Linked DNA regions of Neurospora crassa OR74A. The protein of the gene in region 1 interacts with the protein of each later gene in a pairwise test. Links are inferred from orthologs where the notes say so. Each region holds a gene or a part of one and is shown on either strand. Other genes may lie near its edges. The genes, in order: ck-1a, NCU01318 and cpc-3.

Region 1 (6,484 bases):
TTGTCTGCCCCTTGGGTCGCGTTTTGGGCAGCAAAGCGGAGGCGAACCACCGGCGGACCTAAGGCTGGCTCCGTTATGCCTCGGGTGCATTCTGTGACTTCGTTGTCGGCCCATGGAAAGGTTTGAGATGAGGTTCTTTTGATAGCTTCTGACAGCCTCAGATAGAGAGTTCCTAAGCTGGTCATGTTTCCAAGGCTGCGAATTATGAAGATGCAGGTAGCGCCGGTTGATTGAACAGGATTTTCTCCGACACCGCCTTGTACGTGTAGTGTAGTTGGAAGATACACGTCGGTAGTATCTGCAAGGCCAGGGGGATTGAAATTCCGGGCACTGTCTTGGAGACGACCAGGTACCCCTAGCACGGCAGACCGAACATGAGCAATGGAAGGATATGTGTAGCCCTTTCCCTGTGAGGACTGAATGCTCTGCCGATTCTGAATGTACCTCTATGTATTCCATCCATTGGCAATTCGAAGAACAAACTATTGAATGATGGACTGAGGGGGTCGGACGGAGGTTGCTGGTTGTCGCAGCGAGGATAGTAGCGAGTGTACTTGCAAGAGCAGTGAGACGCTGACATGGAGGGCTTGGCCTCTCAGCCGCGCCTAACGTCCTCCAGATATACGACACAGTGCGCTCTTTTGAAGAGGTCCACTAGACCCGTGATCTTCGGCAGCGGTTTTTGAGATCTTATATTGACAGTTCTCGGTGTAGCTGTTCTCTGCAGGCTCTGTGGACGGCTTTTGTGTACACTACTGCGCAAGCGCCCGTCAAACAATATGGCTTGTCGTGACCGCTTTGATAGGCTCTCCCGTGGCTGCCGCCAACCACTTGACGTAGGTTCTTTGCATATCTAGCACGGAACTCTTGGGGCCTTGTGAGGAAGCTATGAGAGGAGATGACAGGAAGGGCGCTTTTGTTCGGTATGTTCCAAGCTGTCGGGACGCCAGTCGCAGAGGTTTTGTCCCACGGGGTGGGGAATGTTGATCGCTTTTGCAAACGACTGTCTGTGTGATTATGGTACAGAGCCCTGTCGTACGCAGAATGTACACTACACCGAGCTGTCAATCCCGCCATGGTTGAACGATGCGCCTTGCTTGTGTTTTGGTCCCTTCGTCTGATCTTTTGAAAGAGGGCTCCTGCATTCCGTCTGTCGTATAGTCTCCATAGTGAAACATCACAATGATGCAGTTGTGAACGGGGAAGAAGCGGGACATTGGTCACAGAATGTGTACTGCGTAGTGTTCTAAAGTAGTCAGAGAAGGCACCTGACTTGATCAAAGTGCCGTTCAATTCTCTTCGAAGCTGATATCGGATGGGTTATGGATGTCGTATTTGTCGCAATTGCTGTTGTAACGTATACCAGTCAGATTTAGTATTAATTTTGGGACCGGGAGCCAACCAAGCTAATATGATACAGCACAGACTCTCAATAGTACTGCGTACAGCAAGAGAACGAACTGAAAGCAGGCAGGCACTTTGGCACTGGATTGGCTATTGGGCCCCGTCCAGTTTCTGCCTAACAAAACGCTGAGCCTTCATTCCGACCTCTTCCACATTCACAGGGCGTAATATGGGAGGCGCGGTGTATCATGCCTTCCCTCGTAAATAGAGGTATGTAGAGGTAGAGGTACGGTGCGGTCCTGCCCGCATCATCAAGTATAAGCCTTTCGGTTACCTTACCTTACCGCAGCACGTTTGCCTTGCCCACGCAATGTCCACTGCAGTGCCGCCTGCATCCTATCCTGCCGTCGTAAGGTGTTGCCGGCGTCTTGCCTTGCCTGTTGGGGAACTGCAAATCAGCAGATTTTGTTTGTTTGAAAAGCAAGCCTGCATTCGGAGATCTTTGGATGACAGTTGGACATTGCCAGAGAAAAGGGCGCGCCCAGAAGCCACATGAAACTCCGCCCTCCAATGCCCTGGGCTGGCAGGCCTGGGACGCCTGGCCCTTGCCTGAGGTGGCTCGCTGTCCGACGGTGCAGTGAGAGAGCTCCAGTCATTTTTTGCCATCTCGCTCACCTTGGCACTGTGTCCGGCTTATTGCTTGGCCCGCACTGTGACACTGTGGATGGCGGCGGTGGATCACGGCTCCTCCACTTCCCGTCAGTTCGCCAGCTGGATGCCGCCAAGAACCAAGCCAAAAGAGCGCGCGCTGGCTGGGCCTGGTCGATCTGGCGAGCCTGGCTGGCACTTGGCGTTGCCGTCTCAAATCCTGCCAGTCCCCAGTCCCCCAGGTCGGTCGGCTGTCCAGAAGTCCCAGTCGGTCCCAGTCACCAAACTGCCTCCTCCTCCCTTCTCGCTGTCTCGTTTCCCTCTTCACATCGTCCTTTCCCTCGCCCCCCGTCTCACCACCGACGACCTAAAATTTCCCGGCGGCGACGACGACGGTAAGAGAACCTACCCCAACCACCAAAACAATCTCTTGTTTTTTTTCTTCCCCCGCATGCTGCACCATACATCAACACCAAGCCCGCGTCCATCAGCTTGCCGCTGCACGCTTCGTCTCGACTGCATTTTAACACATACCCGTACAGATTGAGCTGCATTTCATCGCCCCCGACGCTCCAACATCACTTAAGCAGCCTTCTTCGGCACGCACGCCCCTCTCGATTATTCATTGCCATCCTGGTCTCGACGACCCTTGAGCACAGCATTCGGTCTGCGACGACCGTTTACAAAAGGAGAACACATCCCGCCGAAGAGTGAGTTAAAACTTCCATCATCATTTCCGTCAGACGGGTTGTCGTTCCCAGCGAGCGAGGGAGGTTGCTGCACGCATTGTGGTGGTTCCACTCAGCTGCCGCCATGTATCGGTGAGCTGATTGTTGGCCCGTCCGCCAACCAATCTGCCCGCGCTGGCCGCATTTGCCCGCTGTTTGCCCGGATGCACACCGTCGCCATCGGTCACGACACCGACTTGATAGGCTTTTCAATAGCCTCGACACCCTTCTTGGCATGATGGTGGGAATGGCATCACTACAATGCTCCCCAAGGATGGCAGCGTCGCCCAGGCCATCGTTGAACACGTCCGTGTCGACATAGCCCTGATGGACAGTGTTGTCACGCCGTCCAGACGCTCCGTCTTCCAGGGCGATGCACGATGTGGATGTGTTTGCAGAGGTTTCTGGAAATGTTGCCGTCACCATTGACACATGGGCCACTTCATGGAGCAGTCGAACAACCTATTGTGACCGAGCCGGGCAAGGACTCCCACCCGAACACCTGGGACGACACTGGCCTTTCTCGACAGCTCAGCGTTCGACATCGTTGCGTATGCGTACCTTGATGGCCCTTTTACTGACATCTATCGGCTATAGTTACTGATCTTCTGGGATTCGTCTTTCTCCCCTATTAACCGCAAACATGACTACCATGGTACGCTTATCCGTCAATTCCGAATCACCACGGCCTCCTAGGCCTTTGGTTGCCAACGTCAAAGGTTGCATCCTGCTAACTGGAAGGCTAGGATCTCCGCGTCGGTAACAAGTACCGGATCGGTCGCAAGATCGGCTCTGGTTCTTTCGGTGACATTTACCTCGGCACCAACATCATCTCCGGTGAAGAGATTGCCATCAAGCTGGAGAGCGTGAAGGCCAAACACCCTCAACTAGAGTACGAGGCCCGCGTTTACAAGTCTCTCGCCGGTGGCGTTGGTATCCCCTTTGTCCGCTGGTTCGGCACTGAGTGTGACTACAACGCCATGGTCCTCGACCTTCTTGGCCCCAGCTTGGAGGATCTGTTCAACTTCTGCAACCGCAAGTTCTCTCTGAAGACTGTCTTGCTGCTTGCTGATCAGCTCATCTCCCGCATCGAGTACATCCATGCCAAGTCGTTCATCCACCGCGACATCAAGCCTGACAACTTCCTTATGGGGATTGGCAAGCGTGGCAACCAGGTCAACGTGATCGATTTTGGTCTTGCCAAGAAGTACAGAGATCCCAAGACTCACTTCCACATTCCTTACAGAGAGAATAAGAACCTTACTGGCACTGCCCGTTATGCCTCCATCAACACGCATCTCGGCGTCGAGCAGTCTCGCCGTGACGACATGGAGTCCCTTGGCTACGTCATGCTTTACTTTTGCCGCGGCTCCCTCCCGTGGCAGGGCCTTAAGGCTGCCACCAAGAAGCAGAAGTACGACCGCATCATGGAGAAGAAGATGACCACTCCTACCGAGGTTCTTTGCCGCGGCTTCCCCAACGAGTTTGCCATCTACCTCAACTACACTCGTTCCCTCCGCTTCGATGACAAGCCTGATTACAGCTATCTCCGCAAGATCTTCCGTGACTTGTTCGTCCGCGAAGGTTTCCAGTATGACTACGTCTTTGACTGGACCGTCTACAAGTACCAGAAGAACGCCCAGGCTATCCAGCAGGCTGCTGGCAACTCCAGCCAGCCCCAGCCTGCGGACTCCAAGGAGGCGGCCCAGGCTGCTGCTCGTAAGGACCCTCAGCAGGCCCTGAGGAGCGGATCCAGGAAGCCCATGACCGGCGAGACACCTGAGACCAGCCGTGCCGTCGGTGGCAGCGACAGGATGTGAGTTTGCCAGCCTAGCCCAGCATTCCTAGTAAGGAATCTTGTTTCCTTCGAGTTTGGTGTACTCAATAACGCTGGCCGGAGGTAGAATGCTGACATGATGGCTGACGTTCAGTTTGCGATAATAGGCTGCGCTCGGCTGCTAAAGGTCAAGGCGCTGGCTCCGGACATGTGGCCGGCAGGTATCGTCCTATGGAATGAGACTGCGGTTGCTCGCACATGGTATCTACTTGGAACAAGATCTTCGGCGGGTTGTTGGAGTAGCAGATTGCGCATTGGTCAAATGGTTTGATTCCTGCACCCGCCTTTCGTCATCCAACGTCCCTCGAGCGTCTGGATGGAGTGGAAGCGGATGGCTGTACCTGGCCAGCACCATCGACCGATGCATCTCCTCTACACAGCCAGACGGATTACTTGCGACAGATTGCTTCTCTTCGTTCTTCGGCATCTCTATCAGTTACTGCCCTTATTCATGGCTCGGACGGATCTTCGGTTTATGGCGGCAGTGCAGTTCGACTCTTGGTCGAATCTGTCTTGCTCCTATTTGACCGCAGACCTTACGAACGGCATGCCCAGTATCCCGGATTCCTGGGGTGCTGAAGTTGGAGACCTTGGCCTTTCCATGGGCCGAGGTTTAAAATGCCGTCGGAATTGCAGCAGCGGTCATGAGATACGGCTTGATCAAGACGGGCCATTTATGGCAAAAGTCTCGTTCGAGTCATGTCGTTGCGAGATAACAATAAGCATCTTCCCAGTCGGCATCCCGTTTCCCATTGTTTTGTTTTCGTTTACTATCATGCACGATTTCCTTTTGGTGTGTCATTTCTCTCGCATCGGGTCTCGCTTGTGGGGAGGCATTAGGGGACGAAGCGTTGCACCTTTTTGCGAAAGTCATATACATCAATTGTTGGTCAGTTGGTATTAGCTTGGAATCATGTAGCAGAGTTCAGGTCACGGGGTGGTTATTGGTCTATGGCGCCTATGTGCCAAAGTTTCCGTCCAGACGATGGAGATTTCGTGAATGCGGCCACTGCTCAGTGACACGGCGAGGTCCTAAGTTCGATCGGCTGGAGGTTCTGGGTTGGACAAGCAGAGATAGCCTCTTAGCTCATGCTCGAAGATTCCTGGACGCATCTGCTGGCGCGGTGGCTTTCCATATCGACACGATGGTTACGCGTTCACGACCTCGTACCCAAATCGAAATATCAGGAGCACCGCATATAGAGAAGGGCACCTTTCAGCCGCCTGCTTTTGTGGGAGAGCTTTGACCTTGGGATATTTCGGGGACTTGGCTGACATCATGGAGACAAGACGGATATGACTGGTATACACCACGTGGAAAGAGCTCGGGCAACATGAAATTCAAGCTAGTTCTCCTAATACACGTCTCATATCTTAGCCCAATTGGACCGTTGCCGAAGTTGTGTCTGCGTGCATATAGCTTCCATGAGCAAGATAAACGTGCTGTTCTGCAGTTACCTAATTCTCTTGTCTGTCCAAATGGGGTTATTGATTACATGTGCTGGTGAAGCCACCGACGGCTCAGCCTTGATTACCAGCGTACGGGCTGGCCGAATTGACCCTAAGACAAGCAAAACAGCGGTGTCTGAAAGAGGCTGTAATGTCTACGTCACACCTCTGGTCCAATCACAACATTTCCAATCCTACCATGGCTTTAGGGCCTGTGTACCGCGGCGATGGGAACATGATAGATATGATAATAAATACAAAAGTAAATAAAAAGGATGCTACCATCATCACGTATAGCTTGCGGCTTCTGGATATACCTGTCCTGGATTCAATTTTTGGTCATAGTTCGATCCAACAACTTCTGTTCTCTCTCACCATATTTCAACCTCTTGAAGGCAAGCGCTCTGCTTAGTTACACTGTTGTTGGGACTATTCGTTTCCGTAAATTTTCAGGAGTCAAGATACACTCAGCACTTCA
Region 2 (6,484 bases), on another chromosome or scaffold:
GTGTCTGTGATCTTTAAAGTAGCAAGATCAAACACCGCGATGCCTTGTGGGAATGGATCAGTAGTCGTGAAAACGCCCTTATACAATGTTATGGGCCCTTCTCTCGTAGTGTCGACGCCTCCGATTGTTATAATTTGACCACCGCCGACGGCGTTGCAGCTGAGGGAGTGTCTGGGATTCCGCGCTGTGTAGGGCGCTTTGGTCCAATAAAACCCAGGCAGGGTGAGCACGTAGGCATCGTCGAAGGGTACGGATGCGCCGCCCAAATGACCACCCCAGCCGGCGTAGATGAGAATCTCGTAGGTCTGGTTGTCCGATGCCACTCCTGCCATACAGTATTCCTGCCTTGGTGCGGGGGGAGTGCCTGATGTGCTTTGTTCGAACCAAGCTCTGCTGTCAATGTCGAAGATGCGTGCTGTGCCCAGGGAAACGCGCTTGTCGTCGTCGTTGTCTGTCTTCAATTTCGCGATGAGACCTCCCACGGAAACGAGGATGCCCTTTTTGCCAAAGTTGGGAACGTAAAGCATGCTTCCAAATTGCTCCGACCCCTGTGTGGAAGCAAGGTTAACGGTTTCGTTGGTGACCTTCTTCGATGCAAAGTCGTACGTAAGAAGGCTGCTCATCGGTGCCTCGGTGAGATCCGACGCATTGGTACCGAACCTCTCATAGCCTGTTGATCGAGGTCAGCTTCACGGATCTCCTACAAAGAAGTCTCCAAGGCCGCTGATAGTAAGCTTGCGTACCTCCGAGGAAGTAGCCAAAACCATTGCCACTGGCTGTTTTGCCTTTGTATGGTCTCGGCTGTTCCGTAAACGTCTTGTCTGCAGTGTTGTTCAGGTTTTGCCAGGTTCCGCCTCCTGTGCCATCTGGTTTGAATGACCATAGGCCTTGAGGCTGATCGGCGTTATCTCCAAAATTAGACTTGGTGCCGGCGAATCCCGTGTATAAGACACCATCCGTCTCATCTACCCAAAGCCCTCCGCCAGCGAGGTTGGCGGCACCGGGCGGTTTGGATGTTGAGTCGAACCGAACTGAATCACTTGTCCAGTCCTGGGACAAATCGATAGAAAGCAGGGAGTTCGCTACGGAAGAGTTAGGATATTCCATAGTTTCAAGAGTTAATGCGTGGAGAGTCTTACAGTATTGAAAGGTGATGTCAGTACCGCTGTAGTACGAGACCTCACCGCCGTCAATGTACACGCGCCCGTTTAAAACCGCGGCTTTGGTTCGATTAGCCAGATGGTCATGATGCACTGAGAAAAAGACAATGACGGCAATGCTCACACGATTGATAGCCTCTGCGCAGAAATGTCGAGGGACTGATAGCACCGTTAACCTGTCGTGGAAGGATGATTGATTCATCTGCCTTGGGTAGGGTGATAGTGCTACCCGCCTGGCAAATCCACGGCTGTATTACACAGCACAGAAGGGAAGTCGACCTCCTGACCATGATGACTGATTTCAGAGGGCAACAAGAGAGAGAAGAGAAGAATGGGAGAGGAGGAAGAAATTTCTGAGCAAAATGCTACGCGTGTCAGCTTTCTACCCACGAAAAGGGCTAGCTCCCCTGAAGCGCCATCGAGACATGGTGGTAGGTGATGATCCTATAGGATCCGACTGTAATTATAAACGAGGTCGGGAGAGGTGAGCCACGGTAATATCACCGTGGACTGTCAATGGTGCCTGTTGACTGCTACCTGGCGGCTGCTCGGCCCCTTTCGTATCTTAGCGTACCCAAGGGTTGCATCAAGTCAGCACTACAGTAGGAGATAAGGCTGATCCCTACTCGTCGAGTAACAAGTAAAAGTGAGCCTGCTCAGAACAGAGAGGGTGATCACCGGAGAGCGGGCGTTTGTGCGATGCAGCACAGCCGCGAGTTTACCATCTGCTGGCTTGACTGACTGAGCCTGCGAGCGAGCGAGTTGTTTGATTGAGTTCCCCCGCGACAGGCGGATTCTTCAGGATAACCCGACGGTAACACAAAAAGGTATTTTGGTCGTGCTCGACACAGTGGGCTGAAACAGGATGGGGCGAGCAGGGTACGGTTCTTGAAGAACACCAAATGCTGGCATGAGTGGTAGGATCGACACAAGACCGAGCATTAGGACAGAGATGCGAGCAGGCTAATCAGAGCTAGCCAAAACTCAACGGCCAGCCGGCCACAGGTCGGAATCATGACTGGAGCCCAAGGGTAACGGAATCAAAGCTTGACGTCTCCCGAGGCGTCGATGGTGAGGGCAAGCATACGATGCTGAATAGGTACCTATTCAATTTCCATGTCGAGATGTCGCGATTCGCCAATGTTGTTTTTCATTCATGATCCGACGCCGCGGGAACATCACTGCACCGGGAAAACACTTGGTACATCCGACAATTTCGTGCTGACGGAACAAAGGTTGCAACTTGCAGCTTGGAGATGCAGTTTACCACGGCGGCCGCGGTGGCACGGTGAGGTAAGTGGTGATTGGCGTCAGCTCGTCGGCTACGCACCAGCTGGCAAGCAGCCTCCCGTCGTCTGTCAGCAGAGCTGCCCCCTGCCTTTCGATGGAGGGGAACGAGGTACCTGTCCTTTTCAACAACTGGAGGGGAGCAAATGACAACAGAGCCGCAAATCAGAAATTGATACTATCGCCTGTTGCAGTCGGCTTCCATTGCAGTAGAAGCGATTGGGGTATTTCTGAACATTTTGATCCCATCACCTTGTCGCAAACGACTTGACCGATTGCAGAAGAGCAGCGCGTCGTTAACTCTGTGATCTTGCGCAGGGCTTCCTGGACGACAGTCAACACTTTAAAGTGGACCTTGAATTTTCAGGAGCGTCGAAAAAGAGGTTCTTCAGTTCAGTTGTTGCATCTTCCTGGCGACACACCACAACTGGGATCCCGTCCATACCTTATTGCCTCCCCCCGCGGTATGTACTCGCACGGAGCCCGCTTTTCCCCCTAGCTTCCACATCTAGCCTCAGGTCCCGCCTGCCGCAAGACAGCTGCTGTGGACTGTGTGGTGGACGGTGGATGTCTCGAGTGTCTCGTGCGTTCCAGGTCTCGGAGCTAATGACACCTTGCACGTAGCCGCCCGACGACGTTGCCCGTTGCCCGCCGCCCGCCCCGTACCTATCTCTGGAGCTACCACCGCGTAGACGACGGATCATCCACATTAATTCCCTTAATCTTCTAATCCAACAAACCGCCGACACCACCATCACCCCTCTCCAGCTGTTCCTCTCTATCCCCGACTGCGACCATCGACCGAGGACGCCGCCGCCGACATCAACATGGATTACGAAGCCCTCAAGGAGCAATGGGGCGAGGTCGAGGACCGTGATGGCGTTCGTCTGAGCTGGAATGTCTTCCCCAGCACCCGCATGGTCAGTTCCGCTCTTTCGCATACTTGCTACTTCGCGTCACCCCTTTATCGCTGACCCTTTCTTCAGGAAGCTTCGAGACTCGTCGTCCCCATCGGCGCCCTTTATACCCCTCTCAAGGAGAAGCCCGACACGCCTCTGCTGCAGTTCGACCCCGTCAGTTGCAAGCAGCCCTGCCGCTCCGTGTTAAACCCCTACTGGTGAGCCATCTTCGTCGCCCCGACTTGTCGCGCCCATTGCTGATACCCTCGCCCAGTCAAGTCGATGTGCGCGCCCGCCTGTGGATCTGCCCCTTCTGTCTCTCGAGGAATCCTCTCCCGCCACACTACAAGGACATCACCGCAAATGCGATTCCACCCGAGCTGCACCCTTCCAACACTACCATCGAGTACAGGCTCTCGCGGCCCGCCCCCGCCCCTCCGATCTTCCTCTATGTCGTCGATACGTGCCAGGAGGAGGACAGCTTGGCTGCTCTCAAGGAGTCGCTCATCATGAGCTTGAGCCTATTGCCCGAGCACGCCCTTGTCGGCCTGATTACATACGGCACCATGGCCCAGGTCCACGAGATTGGCTATACCGAGTGCCCTAAATCATATGTTTTCCGCGGTAACAAGGAGTACGCGGCCAAGCAGGTCCAGGAGATGCTTGGGCTCGTACAACCTGCCATGCGTCCGGGCATGCCTATGCAACAGCCTGGCAGGCCCTTCCCGGCCGGCCCTGCCTCAAGATTCTTGCTTCCGGTCTCTCAGGCCGAGTTCCAGTTGACCAAGGCCATTGAGCAGCTTCAGAAGGATCCCTGGCCTGTTGCCGGTAACCTCAGAGCCTTGCGCTGCACCGGTGTTGCGTTGTCCGTAGCTGTTGGCCTGCTCGAAACGTCGTTCCAGAATGCCGGTGGTCGCATTATGCTCTTTGCTGGTGGTCCGGCCACTGAGGGACCTGGCATGGTTGTTGGCCCCGAGCTGAGGGAACCGATCCGCTCCCATCACGATATCGACCGTGACAACATCAAGTATTACAAGAAGGCACTCAAGGTACGTTCATCTTCAAGTTGTGGTGCAGGAAACAGTCTGTGTCATGCTAACATTTATTATAGTTCTACGACAACCTCGCTAAGCGAACGGCGCACAACGGCCACACTATTGACATTTTTGCCGGCTGTCTTGATCAAGTTGGTCTACTTGAAATGAAGGGTCTGTGCAACTCGACGGGTGGCCACATGATTCTGACGGACAGCTTCACCTCATCCATGTTCAAGCAGTCATTCGTCCGCATTTTCGAAAAGGACGCGGATGACAATCTGCTCATGGGCTTCAATGCGGTTTTGGAAGTACTTACAACGAAGGAACTCAAGGTTACTGGGTTGATTGGTCATGCAGTCTCTCTCAACAAAAAATCGACGTCCGTCGGCGAAACCGAGTGCGGCATAGGTAACACTTGCACGTGGAAGATGTGCGGTATCGACCCCAGCTCCAGCTACGGTATCTACTTCGAAATCGCCAACCAAGGCGGCCCGTCCCAGAACATGCAGAGTCCCCAAAAGGGAATGATGCAGTTCTTGACTTATTACCAGCACTCGTCTGGCCACTTCCACCTTCGGGTGACCACCATTGCCCGAAACCTCAGCGGCCCCGCCGGAGACCCGGCCATCGCGCAGTCATTTGACCAGGAGGCAGCAGCCGTGCTTATGTCGCGTATCGCTGTTTTCAAGGCGGAGGTTGACGATGGGCCTGATGTGCTCCGGTGGGTTGACCGCATGCTCATCAGGCTCTGCGCCAGATTTGCCGATTACCGCAAGGACGACCCGTCATCGTTCCGCTTGGAAAAGAACTTCACGCTGTACCCACAGTTCATGTTCCACTTGCGTAGGAGTCAGTTCTTGCAAGTCTTTAACAACTCTCCCGATGAGACCGCATTCTATCGGCACGTTCTCAACCATGAGGATGTTAGTAACTCGCTCATCATGATTCAACCAACGCTCGACTCCTACACCTTCGACCAAGAAGGCGGTGTCCCCGTTCTGCTCGACTCTACCTCCATTCAGCCTACCCACATCCTCCTGCTCGATACCTTCTTCCACATTCTGATCTTCCATGGTGAGACGATTGCGGAATGGAGAAAGGCCGGCTACCAAGACCAAGAGGGATACGAGAACTTTGCTGCGCTTTTGGAGCAGCCCAAGGAAGATGCAAGGGTAAGTTGTCTCCTGTTCATCTCTGATCGAATTATGTTGGGGCTTTTTTTCTGACCGTGTACAGGATCTTATTACCGACCGTTTCCCTCTCCCTCGTTTCATTGTTTGCGACCAGGGCGGTTCCCAAGCTCGTTTCCTGCTTTCTAAGCTTAACCCTTCCACTACCCATACATCAGGTGCTGGCGCCTATGGCGGTGTTGGAGCTCAGAGCGCCCAGACTATCTTCACCGACGATGTTTCTCTCCAGACCTTCATGGAGCATCTCATGAAGCTTGCCGTGAGTGGAACCAACTAAATGTGAGGGCAGTGGACAGGCCGAGTGAGAGGCTGGAAGTGAGTGATGAAGTTAAATGCAAGCCCCGGAAACGGCGGACGACCTTTTTGGAATTGTCTAGCGTTAGTTTTATGTGGACTTATACGAGCACACAAATAGATCACATCATTAATATAAATCCAGTGTGCTGTGTTTGATGATCTCCAGGTCCATTTGGAGTTTTGCCACTGATGGGATGTCGTTGTGATCCTCTGGGCGGCAGACTGGAGGCCTTGGCCTTCTGTCTTCATCAGACTCAGGGGGTTTGTTTTGCCTAGTTTGGCAGGTGTTGGCAGGCGAACGTAGCGGTTGCAGCACAGCGCTAAGTAACGGACCATGAACCGGGCTAGATTGAGTTGTGGCTGAAAGCGGTTATTTTGTGGCTAGTGCCCCGCCAAAAGCACCAGCCACACACTGCCAAAATCTTAGGGCAGGCAGGTCCAGATCCCACAATTGGGATTTTTTCGATTTCGTTGTTGTCTTGGATCCTCGGTACGGTCTCCTCCTTCCCACGAACACCATCCAAGTGCATCTTGACAATCACCAGCCGTCACCATGCGTAAGTTATGGCCCTACTATTTGCCTGTCATCGACCGAGTACTCAAAACTGACAATA
Region 3 (6,484 bases), on another chromosome or scaffold:
GAGTCGCAGATGGAAACACTGAAAAAGCTTCGCCATCAGAATCTGCTTCCCTTCCTTGACTTCAGGATCGATCGAGGCATCAGCGACACCGATTCTTCTGCGCCGACCATCTGGACCGTCAGCATTCTGACGCCCCTCGCCACCAAGGGGCCCATTGAAGAGCTTCTCGATCTAGCGGGCCATATTGACACCAACAAGGCAAAGATATGGACGGCCGACCTTCTGGAAGCACTTGCATTCCTACACAACAACGGAATCATTCATCAAGACCTTCACCCAGCCAACATTCTCCTCTACAGAAACGAGGCGGGGGATATAGTGCCTAAAATCACTGATTCTTTTTATCAGAGGGAGCTTCACAACCTCTGTACAAAGATAAAGACGCTGACATCCTCAAAAGCCGCCAAATCCGCATACTGGTTTCCGCCCGAAATTGCAGGTGTAACGAAGCCTCAATACACTCAAAAGACCGATGTCTGGGACTTTGGCATCGTCTTTCTTCAGATGATCTTCGGTTTGGATGTTGTCGAAAAGTATCATTCGCCTTCCGCACTGATGGATTCTCTTTCCTTGTCGGCTCCGCTGGAAGAACTGGTCTCCAAGTTCTTCAAGTCCGACCCCAAGAAGCGGCCGCGGGCTTTTGAGTTGAGCTCAAGCGAATTCCTTGCTACCAATGCGCCCATTATCGATGACGAGGACATTGCTGTGCCGGGTTCCCTGATGCCCATGCCGCAAATGACCCCGCAGAGGATGAGGCACGACTCGATGAGTCGCGGACCCATGTCTTCCAGATACCGACAGGACTATGTGGAAGAGGCTCGTCTTGGAAAAGGAGGGTTCGGAGAGGTTGTCCGAGCCCGCAAGATGATTGACGGACACCTATACGCCATCAAAAAAATCACACAAAGGTCTCAAGAGACACTTTCAGAGATCCTAAAGGAAGTCCGACTGCTTTCCCAGATGAACCATCCGGCTGTTGTCAGATACTACAATACATGGCTGGAGGAGGTGCCGGACTACGCGGACACAGAAGGCGATACTTCAACCGAAGGCGGCGCTACAGACGTTACAGACAACTCTCAGGTCACGATATCCCACGGCATAAATATTGAATTTGCCGAGAGCAAAAGCAGAGGTCTAGATTTCATGTCCTCCAGTGGGCACCCGGGCATTGAGTACGACTACAGCTCGAGTGAAGAAGAGGATGACGACGAAGATGAAGACGATGAAGAGGATGAATCCGACAATGACTCAAATGACGATGCTGCCACTGTAAGCGGCAAGAACCACCTTGGTGTCACAGGACGGCGTCCTCGACGGGGAAGTGCTCGCCCATACAAGACCGTGATGTATATTTCCATGGAGTATTGCGAGAAGCGGGTAGGTTCCCATTATGCCAAAACCAAAATCCGAATGGCAACACTGACAGTTCTATAGACACTGCGCGACTTGATTTCTCGGAATCTGTCTAAGGAAACAGCTGAGATCTGGCGCTTATTCCGCCAAATTCTAGAAGGGCTCTGCCACATTCACAGCCTCAACATCGTTCACCGTGACCTCAAGCCCGAGAATATCTTCATCTCTTCTGGACCTGACGGCCTGGATAATGTAAAGATCGGCGATTTTGGGCTGGCCACTAGCGGACAGTTGGCGATAGACAGGTCAACAGCAAGCTTGGATGCAAGCGACATGACCAGGAGCATTGGCACAGCAGTTTATGTCGCCCCTGAGGTCCGGACGGGTGGCAGCGGCTCTTATACATCAAAGGTGGATGTAGGTTTTTCCCATCCTCCTTGCAAGACTAGACTGACATCATCCCTAGATGTATTCCTTGGGCGTGATTTTCTTCGAGATGTCGTACCCTCCCATGCTTGGAATGCAGCGCGCCATGGTCCTTGAGCAGCTGCGCCAATCCCCTCCCATTTTGCCCGCTGACTTCAAACATATGGATAAAAACCATCTCGAGGTCCTGTTGTCACTGCTGACTCACAACCCTAAAGAGCGCCCTTCGAGCTCAGAGCTTATGAAGAGTGGCAAGCTTCCGATTCAGATGGAAAGCGAGGCGATACGGCGTGCGATTGCTGGATTGTCGGATCCCAACTCACCTTACTACCAAAAGATGCTCGAAACTTTATTCTCCAGGCCAATCGAACAAGCAAAGGATTACGCTTGGGACATGTCTTCATCTGGGCCATCACCCCAAGAACTCATGCGACAGTTCATCGTCAAGGACACCTTGATATCCATCTTCCGGCGACACGGTGCGGTTGAGGCTCCTACGGTCTGTCTGTATCCCAGCTCTTCGCATTATGGCCAAAACGCGGTCCATCTCCTCGACCAGAATGGTACGGTTCTTCAGTTGCCCTTCGATCTCATGATGGGCCATGCTCGCTCTCTCGCAAGGATCACGAACAGCCCCGTTGTTCAGAAGTCATACTCCTTTGGCAACATATTCCGTGATCGTCACGGCGGTGGTCAGCCTGATGTGTACGGAGAAGTCGACTTTGACATTGTCACTTCAGACGCCTTAGACCTTGCCTTGAAAGAGGCCGAGGTCATCAAAGTTCTGGATGAGATTGCGACTGCGTTCCCTACTGTGTCGTCTACTCCCATCTGCTTCCAGCTGGGGCATTCGGACCTCTTGAATCTTATCTTTGAGTACTGCGGCGTGGAAGTGGGCACACGCAGGGCTGCTGCTGAGGTCCTCAGTAAGCTCAACATTCGCAATTTCACTTGGCAAAAGGTGCGTGGAGAGCTTAGATCACCCATGGTGGGTATATCGGCAACCAGCGTAGACGAGCTGCAGAGATTTGACTTCAGAGGTAAGTGTGACTTTACACCACGAACATACTTACGCCATCAACTAACCACTTGTTTTAGATACCCCGAGCAAGGCCATCGCGAAGATCAAGCTTCTTTTCGAAGGAACGGAATACTACCAACAGGCTTCATCAACATTGGCCCATCTCAAAGAAGTGTACGAATATACCAAGCGGTTCGGAGTACAAAACAAAATCTACATTGCCCCTTTAAGCAGCATCAACGAAGCCTTCTTCCGCGGTGGCATCCTCTTTTCTTGCCTGTACGACAAAAAGGTCAAGGATGTCTTCGCCGCCGGTGGCCGCTACGACAGCTTGATTAAGGAACATCGTCCCAAGATCGGCAACCGGTTTGAAGAGCGCCATGCGGTCGGCTTCAGCTTGAACTGGGAGAAGCAGCTCGCCAAGCCCGTCCCGAAGGCCACCGGCAAAACATTCCTCAAGAAGGCGGCCGAAGAAGAGAGTCAAGGCCTCTTCAACATCAAACGCTGCGACGTCCTTGTCGCTTCCTTCGACCCGGAAGTCCTCCGCTCCTCTGGTATTGAGCTCGTCCAGACGCTTTGGGCGCACTCCATCTCGGCCGAGCTGGCCCGTGACGCCCGCTCGCCCGAAGACCTGCTCTCCAAGTACCGCGACGAGTCGTACTTGTGGGTCGTCATCATCAAGCAGGACAACATGCTCAAGATCAAGAGCATGGCCCGCAAGGACGCGCCCGACGCCGATATCCCCGCCAAGGAGCTGCTCAACTGGCTGAAGGCCGAGATGCGCGAGAATAGGGACGCTCTCATGCGGGGCACGGGCAGCGGCAGTATATCTTCGGGAGCGGCCATCAAGTTCCGCGGCGGCGGCGGCAGCGGTGGCGGAGGCGGTCTCTCGTCCTTTGGCACGAACAACTCGGAGTTGAACAGCGGGTTGTTCCTAGGTGCGGACGGCGAGCGCGAGCAGGAGGTGCACGTGCTCGTGGCGCAGACAAAGAGCAAGAAGTTCAACCGCCGGCAGGTGGTGGAGCAGGCGCAGATGAGTGCGGCGAAGCTGTTGCAGAGCTTTCTGGACGGGCCGATTGCCGCAATCGAGACTTCGGATAGCGTGATGGATATGATACGGCGGACGAGCCTGAGCGATGCGGAGAGCTGGCGCAGGGTGGAACACAATGTGGGCACGAGCGAGAAGAAATATGTCAAGGAGATTCACGATATGTTGAAGGGGTGGAGGTGGGAGTGGGAGGCCAAGAAGGGATCGGAGCACGCGTTTGTGTATAATTTCAGGACGGGGAGGTGCATCTATTACGACTTGTCGGCTTGATCGGGTCGGCAGGGTATTGAAGCCCTGGGGAGGTGCCTAGCTGGGTAGGATACGTTGGCGATGGTGGGTTGGATGTGTGTATAATAGGTATACAGTTGTAAGGCTAGTAATCCCACCCGAAGGCATCACTGCTCTTTCAAATCGTCCGATGTTCCTCTTGCTTTTCGTCTATGGTGATCCCCTGAAACACCAACTCAACCTGAGTCAGCCTCCTATACAGAACCCTAACCCTTCTGTCACAAGTGAAACGCCCAACCATCTCACTACGGGAAGATCACCCTGCTGGCCAACAAGAAGTTCGTTCGCACACAAGAAGCCAGGAAGAAGACCGATTGCGGAGGAACTGACCATCAAGGTCCTTGCCTACTGTTACCCACCGGATCTTCTAACTGCCTGGCACGGACGTTTCCCATCCATGGTTTACGAGAAAATGGGAACCGCTGCCAGTATGCAAACGAATCGATCCATCTTCTTCCCTCATGTTGGGCAACACGTTACCTGTACCTACTCTTATTTACAGCAAAGTGTTGTGAATGACGGGTATATGATGCTTGGAAACAGATGCGAATGTGGATTCGATTTAAGGCATCGATCATTTGTTGTCTGGGCAGTCAACAGGACAACATGGAACTGCGTCACTTCTTTGTAGCTTCAGTGGACCGTGACGGGATCTAGTGTACTTGGGAAATTGTTAGTGCATCCTCTGAAACATCCGATAACTGCAATTCTGACCACCACCAATATGCCCTATCACCATGGGATGCTCATTTGTCAGTGGCAAAGGAACTGCACCGTCGTGTCGTCCCGTCTCCTTGCGGGTAGATTGTACATGATTGTCTGATGGGCCCCCCCTTTGCCAGAGAAAAAAAAAAAAAAAAAGGCCGTTCTGGGAGGTTCCGCCTGCTTTGTAAAGGTTGACGGGCAATTACAATACGATAATATGGAAGGGCGGGGATTACGGCCTCCCTCCTTTGACGATACTCCTGTCAGGTGTATTGGTCTTATGTAGAGGTAGGTACCTATGCCGAGAGCCCGAGACCGCCATTGTGCAGCGGTGTTGACCACCATTAACAAACGTAAGGCGAGACATGCAGTTGTTAGGATTCCTCAGTGCCTCGCTCAGCTCGGCTGCTGCACCACCATGGGAGAAGGAAGTTGGGCAATGACGGGACCATCACAAATGGTCTGGGTCGGTTGCTTCGTGTAGACTTAGGTTAAGTTGAGAGTGCGTGCTAGAGACTGCCCAACCTTCTATCCGGGTCCTCGCTCCGAGGAACCCAAGGGAAGCGTGACCCTGCCATGATTCCATCGCTCACATCGTAGTAGTGTAGTTCACACACCTTTTCCTGATCCGGTTGTGACGTTCGTACGCCCTTCCACTTTTCCTCCCGTCTGACCCTGCTTTCTCCTGACTCGCAACCTCTCTATTGTTCCAGATTGTCACCGCCCAGCCCTTGATTTCCAACCCACTTCCCAAAGACCACCATCGTGACAAACCGTGAACTTCTATCCCGACCGTCCGTGCTTCCATAGAGTCTGTTCCCATTGTTTGGTTATCGTTATCATTCCATCCCTCTTCAAAAGATCAATACCCACCCCGGCCTTCACCACCGACCGTCTAACAATCTTCCCCAAACACCCGCCCGCCTCTTGCCAACATCCCCTCAAACTACAAATACCACCATTTTCCTCTCGAGGCCCCCGATCTTGCGCACGAGAGGGATCTTCGTCAGCACTTTACGTGTCGATCCCTTGACGAGCCACCACAACATATCTACTTCACCACCACCGCCACCACCAACGAAGTAAAGTGGGCTTTTCCAGCGGCAGCCCATTCTTTCTTTTGTCAACCTCCGCCACCGGCACCTCGCCTTCACTTCCGTAACCACATTTTGCCATGTCGTACAGGACAACAGCGTCGGGCGCTACAACGCGCCTGATGAGTGAGATGAAGGCGCTACGAAAGGAGAAGTGGATTCACTTTGAAGATGTACGTCCTAGTACCGTTCGTTTTTTCTCCTTTGCCGGTCTGTCGTTCGCGGGCGCAGTACCGGCACGTCGATTCTAGTATCACTATACCTTCACTACGGAACCTAGACTGACCCTCACTTCTTTGGCGCAAACAGGACGATTCTGCGACCCTCAACATCCTCAAGTGGCGCTTCGGCCTCATGGTCATCAACCCCGACAGCGCCTTTAACGGGGGGTACTTCAGGGCCGAGATGGTATTTTCGGACGAATACCCCTACCAGCCGCCCAAGTTCCGCTTCCTGATCCCCATCACCCACCCCAATGTGTATCCGGACGGCCAGCTCTGCATCTCGATCCTGCACACACCCGGCGAGGACCTCATGTCTGGCGAG

The links.
Region 2: the proteins of ck-1a (region 1) and NCU01318 interact in binary tests that used the Saccharomyces cerevisiae proteins (3 or more experiments, as listed by UniProt). The link is inferred for Neurospora crassa OR74A from reciprocal best matches to the Saccharomyces cerevisiae genes HRR25 and SEC23.
Region 3: the proteins of ck-1a (region 1) and cpc-3 interact in binary tests that used the Saccharomyces cerevisiae proteins (3 or more experiments, as listed by UniProt). The link is inferred for Neurospora crassa OR74A from reciprocal best matches to the Saccharomyces cerevisiae genes HRR25 and GCN2.

What each region holds. Positions count from the first base shown.
Region 1 is NC_026501.1:7,561,075-7,567,558, forward strand, and holds ck-1a (casein kinase I), read left to right. Parts: upstream 1-2,271; 5' UTR 2,272-2,387; intron 2,388-2,534; 5' UTR 2,535-2,702; intron 2,703-3,317; 5' UTR 3,318-3,363; coding exon 3,364-3,375; intron 3,376-3,466; coding exon 3,467-4,536; coding exon of another isoform or gene 4,537-4,540; exon of another isoform or gene 4,541-4,651; coding exon of another isoform or gene 4,652-4,661; exon of another isoform or gene 4,662-4,664; coding exon 4,665-4,737; 3' UTR 4,738-6,278; downstream 6,279-6,484. UniProt on the Saccharomyces cerevisiae protein: Protein kinase which phosphorylates serine and threonine residues. Can use casein as a substrate. Phosphorylates elongator complex member ELP1/IKI3 on 'Ser-1198' and 'Ser-1202' which promotes the tRNA modification function of the complex.
Region 2 is NC_026505.1:3,642,767-3,649,250, reverse strand, and holds NCU01318 (protein transporter sec-23), read left to right. Parts: upstream 1-2,594; 5' UTR 2,595-2,911; intron 2,912-3,071; 5' UTR 3,072-3,274; coding exon 3,275-3,367; intron 3,368-3,433; coding exon 3,434-3,564; intron 3,565-3,620; coding exon 3,621-4,395; intron 4,396-4,457; coding exon 4,458-5,555; intron 5,556-5,619; coding exon 5,620-5,850; 3' UTR 5,851-6,021; downstream 6,022-6,484. Other genes in the region: NCU01319 (hypothetical protein), read right to left, coding at 1-670, 744-1,082, 1,140-1,220, 1,285-1,450; NCU01317 (60S ribosomal protein L12), read left to right, coding at 6,424-6,427. UniProt on the Saccharomyces cerevisiae protein: Component of the coat protein complex II (COPII) which promotes the formation of transport vesicles from the endoplasmic reticulum (ER).
Region 3 is NC_026505.1:3,170,773-3,177,256, forward strand, and holds the end of cpc-3 (cpc-3 protein), read left to right. Parts: coding exon 1-1,380; intron 1,381-1,437; coding exon 1,438-1,773; intron 1,774-1,822; coding exon 1,823-2,822; intron 2,823-2,880; coding exon 2,881-4,121; 3' UTR 4,122-4,265; downstream 4,266-6,484. Other genes in the region: NCU01188 (ubiquitin conjugating enzyme), read left to right, coding at 6,019-6,111, 6,248-6,484. UniProt on the Saccharomyces cerevisiae protein: Metabolic-stress sensing protein kinase that phosphorylates the alpha subunit of eukaryotic translation initiation factor 2 (eIF-2-alpha/SUI2) on 'Ser-52' in response to low amino acid, carbon, or purine availability.